Linked DNA regions of Saccharomyces cerevisiae S288C. Changing the gene in region 1 together with any one later gene gives a genetic interaction. Each region holds a gene or a part of one and is shown in the gene's direction. Other genes may lie near its edges.

Region 1 (3,634 bases):
TAGAAAAAGGAAAATATCGACAGACTCTTCGTCATTCAACAGTTCCTGTGAAAAAAAACTAGAATTCACAAAATCCCTGTAACAAACATCTAGTTTGTAAATTTTCCTCTTTAATTTAGAATGCGAGTGACTTAATATTTTGACACACTCATCTAAGTTGTTTTTTTGATTTGGAGACTCGTATTTCTTTAGTACTCTTGATAGATTTTCCAAAACGAAGATCATTTCCAGTATTAAGTTGAAGATGCTTTTCGAGAAGGACGCCTTTAATGCATTAATGTAGATTTCATTTTTTAAAAGCCCCGGACCGATAGGCTTAAAGGCACTGGGCGTGTTTTCTCTTGTTGGAATTCCTGAAGATTGAGGGCTAGCGCTTGCTTCTTTGCTCAGGGTCGCAGAATCCGATCTATACTTCTCCAATTCTTCATACATCTTTTTCAATTCATCATCATTAAAAATTTTGGGTGCAATGGGTAATACTCTCAGAGAAGTTTCCATGGCAGTTAAAGAATTTCTTAAACTCTTCAACGATTGAAGGTCAAACCTGGAAATTGTCAACTGATTTACAAAATCTCTAAAACCTTGAGATAAATCAATGTTTAGTGTTTTCACCATTTTTACTTGGGCTAGGTAAATTTGTTCTTTGGACTTTATTAATTCAGTATCTACTAGTGCCATTAAAAAGGTCTTTGTGGTCTGTAGACACTTGTTATAATGTTCCATTAACTCTGCATTGCCACTATGTGGTGATACACATACACAAACCAAGAGAGATAGCAAAAGGCCGAAGAGATATGAGATTCCAAAATCCCAAAAAATTTGCCACTTCAAATCAAACTTGGATGAGGCCAACCGAACTGTATGAGTGAATATAATCGATATCGAAAACGAAGTTGTGAAATAGAAGAACCGACGGTAAACAGACCTTAGCCAGATGGCAAATAAGAGGGCCATAGTCAGACTCTGAAATAAAATTCCTCCCTGGTAGTTTGCGGTCGGCTTTGTCGCTGTGGAAATGTACCATGCCAAAGCCGACCATCCCAGGCCAAAACTTGCGCCGATAATGGAGCTTATAGTCATTTCCAGTTGAACACCAATATTTCTGACCGGATGATGTATAAGTACTGCGATGGGTAGAAAATACCTGAACTCATGGCCAATCCACCTACCAGAAGGCCTGATAACGCAAATCACGATAGCAATGAAATAAGCAATAAAAAACTTGAATATGGATACCCCATTTTTTCTAATATCTCTAGGGAAATGAATAATGGGCCTGTAGATAGCAGTCCAAACATATTCGGAAAGCTTGGTAAAACCAGATTGCAGTTTTTTCCTTGCAGCGCCATTGTCGTCATCGATGTCGCTGTTAGGAGACCTAGCTTTGCTGTCCGGCTTGGTAAAAGCAGCATCAAAAAACCCATCTCTCAGCTCTTCCAGCCCAAAGTCCTCTACTTCCTCCCAGTGTTTGTCCTTAACCAAATTTTCCAGCCGCATTTGCGATAAGGATGCCACGGATTGTTGTGGGCTTCCTGCAAAGCTAAGCCCGCTTATACCGGCAGGATTCTTATAGTTAAGTTCATGTAGTGACCTGAGTGATGTTTGAGAGTATGAACCTTTCACAATATCAGGATCAGGAGTGGGACTTCGATCTCGCTCATATCTTTTCATGAGGACCTGTTACAATTCCAGCACTATACTGTACATGCTTTCCTTAGTGGAGCACAAAGCAAGTTAAAAATGAACTTTAAATTGATTAAAGTGTTAGTGACGCTTAAACTCGTTTTCCTGCGCGTATTTCACGCAATCTATACATAATCATCTTTGATAATGTTATATCGCCTTTCATTTCCAGATTTTGTTCACTGAAAAGTCTTATCGGAAACCTAACTTTGGGCGACAGGGTTATTGTTTATAATTTGTAGGTGTTCCATTTTTTTCTTTGTACTTTTTTAGGTTAACGTAATATTTAATTAGGTCATTTTTAGGGCGTTTAGTATTAGAAAAATTCATTTGTACACACTATTAAGAGGAAGGCAAACTATATTTACATTTTATTGAGGAAAAGGGTTCATCGAGGAGTTATCAAGAAAAGCGTTTGTTAGTAGTAGTTTGCGACAGTGGAGATGGCAGCTGCACCATGGTATATTAGACAGCGTGACACGGATTTATTGGGTAAATTCAAGTTCATACAGAATCAAGAAGACGGCAGATTAAGGGAAGCTACAAACGGAACGGTGAATTCACGATGGTCGTTGGGGGTCAGCATAGAACCTCGTAACGATGCTAGAAACAGATACGTTAACATTATGCCGTATGAGAGGAACCGCGTTCATTTGAAGACTCTATCCGGGAATGATTACATTAATGCCTCGTATGTCAAAGTGAACGTGCCAGGGCAGAGCATCGAACCGGGCTACTATATTGCTACTCAAGGTCCCACGCGTAAAACTTGGGATCAGTTTTGGCAAATGTGCTATCACAATTGTCCTTTAGACAATATTGTCATTGTGATGGTCACGCCTCTGGTAGAATACAATAGGGAGAAGTGCTACCAGTACTGGCCTCGCGGTGGTGTAGACGATACGGTTAGAATAGCATCAAAATGGGAAAGTCCGGGCGGCGCCAATGATATGACTCAATTTCCCTCTGATTTGAAAATAGAGTTTGTTAACGTACATAAGGTGAAGGACTATTATACGGTCACCGATATCAAACTCACACCCACGGACCCTCTTGTAGGACCTGTCAAAACTGTTCACCACTTTTACTTCGACCTTTGGAAAGATATGAACAAGCCAGAGGAAGTAGTACCCATAATGGAATTATGCGCTCACTCCCACAGCTTGAATTCCCGCGGGAACCCCATTATCGTACACTGTTCCGCAGGCGTGGGCAGAACGGGGACGTTCATTGCCCTAGATCATCTCATGCATGATACCTTGGATTTTAAAAATATTACAGAACGGTCAAGGCATTCAGACAGGGCTACAGAGGAGTACACACGGGACTTGATCGAACAGATCGTGTTACAGTTGCGCTCGCAAAGAATGAAAATGGTTCAGACAAAGGATCAGTTCCTATTTATCTACCATGCTGCCAAGTATCTTAACAGTCTTTCCGTGAACCAATAGACAGCTATATAAAAGTTCCTAATTGTGCATTTTTTCAATAACAATACTTATTCATCCTTATAATTATATTCTAGCTTCGTTGTCATGGGAACATAGCCCATACACCGCAGTTATTTATGATCATTTCGAACGGGAAGTATGGATGAATCTTTTTTTTTTTTTTTTTATAGCACGCAACTGAAAAAAAAAAAAAGAAAAATTTTTCATCTTCGCTCGACGTTTCTTTTGTAGTACTCATCTCTTTTTATATAAAGATTAATTAGTTATTGTCGCTTTGCTTTTCCTTCTTTAAAAAATGTTTCTTGCTTTTGGATTTTCAGATGTCCCAAGATCATTACAGTATTTTAATTGAACAAAATGGCTGAAGGTGTTTTCCAAGGTGCTATCGGTATCGATTTAGGTACAACCTACTCTTGTGTTGCTACTTACGAATCCTCCGTTGAAATTATTGCCAACGAACAAGGTAACAGAGTCACCCCATCTTTCGTTGCTTTCACTCC
Region 2 (4,142 bases), on another chromosome or scaffold:
GTAATTAAATAATCAAATGTCTATAATCTCCCTGAGTTGCCTCTTTTTCTATACTCAATTGGGTAATTGACGCGAAACGCGTTAAAGTGCAAAAAAAGGCCTGGAAATTATATTTAACGCAATGAAATATTTTCATAATATGACATTCATGCACAGCTGTATTCATTCTTCTACTTTGTAGTTTGTTATTCTTCTTTATCGGTTTCGTTTTACAAAAGATTTTAGCAAGGAAGCAGTTTTTAAACCAATCAATGGTATACACAACACCGCAACAACAGCAGAGATTCAGCTCCACACCGCAATCTAGCCACACTCTTATCTTCTCGCCAATCAGAGCCCCTTCAATGCAAACGCCCTCCTCATTGGATTACCAATCACCTTCAATTGTTGTGTCATCGTCTTCAATGAAGGTTCACGGCCGGTCTTCCAGTTTCGGTAAATTTTCACTGTCTATTGGGCAAAATGGTAAGGCTACAATACTGGGGCCTATAAACGTCCTTCCCACTGATACATCGAAAATGGAGAAACCTGTACCAAAGAAAAAGCCTGTTACTTCTGACCGTGTCGAAAAGACTCGTATATTATCTTTGTTGAAAAAAATGAGAAACAAGAGCAGTACTGTCAACAAAAAATATAGTAAAGTACCATTAAAGTCTACGACAAGTTTGCAACCAGCAGCTACTGCACCTTCACCACTAGTGTCCAACATCATAAAGCCGTCTCCCAAAAAGTTAGCTTCCCCAAGAACTCCGAATGCAAACTCCAATTTAAATCTAAACTTTACTTCATTTCAGATTAAAACAGGTTTCACTCCCAATCTCGATGGAATTTTACTTGAAAACTTCACGTCTCCTAACACAACCGCTGATTCACAGGGTAATTCCGCCAGTAACATCATAAATAATAATCACGGTAGCGCAAATAATACCAACCAATTTCTTTTTAATCTACCACTTCAATCATCACCAAGGCAATTCAGGTCTCCTGCAAGATTAATAGATCCCCTTCCCATATCGGACTGGAACACCAGTCTCTTGATGTCACCCCCAAGAACGACGAATTTTGAATCTGCAAACAATCACTTCAATTCAAATTTTGCTCAAGCATCGATGTTAAGACGCCCTTCACTACCGCACATAGATGAGGTGATTCCACAGGACTCTAATCCAGCCAATTACTCAGATAGATCGGACTATCTATCTGTGGACCAGAACGCCAATAATCATAATGGTGCACTTTCAGAACAGACCTATAATAATATAATGAAATCTTCTATGATTTCGTTACCTATAGAAAAAGATGATGCCACAATGGCACTACGAAAACTTGTCTCCAGAGAGTAGGTCCATTTGGTTTTCGTAAAATACACTACGTAAGATTTCATTATATATTCAAAACCGAAGAACTTTATTTAATTAATTCTATTCAATATTTTTTTTTTCCCATTAAATTGTGTAGTGGAAGCAAAATGCACTGCGCTTATGTGAAAAAGTTACACAATAGGGAATACATGGAACAGCAGATCAGAACTGCAACCCTACAGATTAGATATGGAGAACGACAAGGCGTCACATGCGAGCCCAAGCATTGGAGTGAACGAATTTGTCGTTCAAGGGGAGATATCCATAGACGACTCCGAAAGGTCTGTCAAGAGTGTTAGCGTTAGCATAAGTGATGATGAGGATAGTAAGACAGATGTACAAGATAATATGGCCACACCGTCCACAAGATCGAAATTTCAAACAGATCTGGCCATTGATAATAGGCTATTGGAAAAAGATCCAAAGTACAAAAAACTTTTCACTGAAAAAAGAAGACGTCGAAGACCAGAAAGCTGTATTAACCTCATGACTAAAGGTAAGGGCACTGGACAAAAAGATAACATTAATGATCAAATTTTCAGCCTAAGAATATTACCAGGCTCCGATTTAAACTCTTTAAAGGATTCTTTATGGATAATAAAGATCTCTACCCAGCCAGATGTTGAAAAAACAATCGCAAGAGCTTTTTCTGATTTCTATTGGTTATATCATCAATTACAAAATAACCACTGGGGAAAAACGATTCCTCCGCCTACAAGGTCCAACATTCTTGTAGAGAAGGACGAATTTGCCATAAATCATCTTTTTATGATACGTAATAATGAGAAGTATGATCCAATTTTTAATTTCAAACCGGAATATATCATATCATTGCAATTGATGGCAATGATTAAGCACATATTCAATGACAAGGTTTTACGTTTGGATTCAAATTTCATAGATTTTATTAGTTGGGATGACGATCTTCCTGAAAGTTTGCAAATAGTAGTCGATGACAGTACCTTCACAGGGGATAAAATACTAATGACATCTTCTCAATTTCGAGAATTAAAAGAGTTTCATAAACAATCAAAAAAAGTGGAATCAATAACAAATTCACATGCTTCGTTAATACCCGTAACAGAACTTACCGAAATATATATAAGCCCGACCAAATTATTCTCTAGAAAAGACTACCAAAGGCTTTTTCAACCTCAAAGCACAGACAACACCTTTAATAACAATGACCCGTTGATTCAAGAGTGGATACCAAAAAGCAAAACATTATTCACTAGTTTATCCTTTGGTTCAAGTGCACCTACTTATCAAGAAGCGTCAACTGAGATACAGGCATGCCATGACTGGGTAAGCATATCCAAGGAGCAATGGAAACAGTTACTCTACCATGTATTACAGTACATTGTAGACGAGGCAGTGAAGGTGAATTCTGTGATAAACGAATTTACTGAGTGTCTTAAGCAAATTTCTTTGGACGAAGTCATTAGAGCAAACTCTGAACTATTTTTGAAATTTTCCAAACTGAATGAATCCTTTCTAAAAAAATTCAAAGGTGCATCGAGGCAAGACATTCTGAAGCTAATCATATTATTTGATGAAAATGTAAGATTTTGCGAATCATTTGAATCCATCTTAAATCAAAGATTGAAGCTTGGTAAAATTCTAAGCATCATAGAAGTGGATCTAGACAAGAAGAAAAACTTTCTTGACAAACTATCTCCGGGAAACAACAACAGTAACAATGAAGACCTTAAGATACGCACGGCAGAGGATGAATACCGCATTGTATTAAAAAGATATAACCGTGTTAAGCAGAGCTGGGAGAAAATTATGGAAGATATCTTAAATGAACGGAAAGAATTTGAGAAGAGAGAAGCCGCCGAGGTTAATAGTTGTTTAAAATCAATAAGAGATTTGAACATGGATGAAAAGAAACACTATTTACAATTATGGCAAGACTTTGTACCAGATGAGCACATAAGCCAATGAATATGTACATAATAACGTAATTAAAGAAGATAATTTACTACTGAAAAAGCAACAATATAAGAAGTTAAGATGAATTATACTAATTTTTCTTGTGTTTCTTAAGTTTGACTTCCAAATCTTGTACGCTTTCAACGTCATCAACATCTTCTTCTTCTTCCTTTTCTTCAACAAATGCCTTATTCAGCAGTGGAAAAATACGCTGCTGTTCACCAATTTTCTCATAATCAACGATCATACTGTCGAAAGCAAAACAAAATTCTCTCGCCATCACATCAATATTATTGTCTAATTGGGGCAATTTGGGATATCTCTGGGAAAAGTGTGTTAAGATCAACTTCCTAGCATTCATTTTGTTCGAAACACCGATTGCTTCATTAATAGTGCAGTGTTTTTTCTTCACGGCATCCTCCAGTAGCTGATTTTCTAGTGTAGCTTCGTGAATTAATAGATCTGAATTATAGCCTATTTCGAGGGAAAATTTCTCGATGTTAGGTCTTGTATCGCCTGAATATGAAACCTTGAATGTATTATGCTCATTGTTTTCGTCCATTCGGAAGGTAATTGAGTTCGAATATGCCCAGTCACAATGTATAGCTCTGCAAGTTTGAAAATATTCTATCGATAAATCCTCATACATTTGTCTGATCAAGTCAACATCCCTATATGAAGAATCTCTATCCAGTTCCAGTTTTCTGTTTGATTCTTGATTGCTATTTTCTTTCAATATTTCATTGAACTCTGCCAAAGGAACAGATTGTGTCTGCATTCTTACAAACGAATCATTGATGAAATGCTCACAACTTATGTATTTGATTCTCTTTAAAATCTCTTTAT

The links.
Region 2: mutations in PTP1 (region 1) and VPS501 together harm fitness more than expected from each alone (negative genetic interaction), as found in Saccharomyces cerevisiae (2 studies listed by BioGRID).

The regions. Positions count from the first base shown.
Region 1 is NC_001136.10:40,574-44,207, forward strand, and holds PTP1 (tyrosine protein phosphatase PTP1), read left to right. Parts: upstream 1-2,126; coding exon 2,127-3,134; downstream 3,135-3,634. Other genes in the region: BRE4 (Bre4p), read right to left, coding at 1-1,671; Hsp70 family ATPase SSB1, read left to right, coding at 3,492-3,634. UniProt on the Saccharomyces cerevisiae protein: Is not required for vegetative growth.
Region 2 is NC_001143.9:583,402-587,543, forward strand, and holds VPS501 (sorting nexin family protein), read left to right. Parts: upstream 1-1,550; coding exon 1,551-3,308; downstream 3,309-4,142. Other genes in the region: MSA2 (Msa2p), read left to right, coding at 252-1,343; TRZ1 (tRNase Z), read right to left, coding at 3,388-4,142.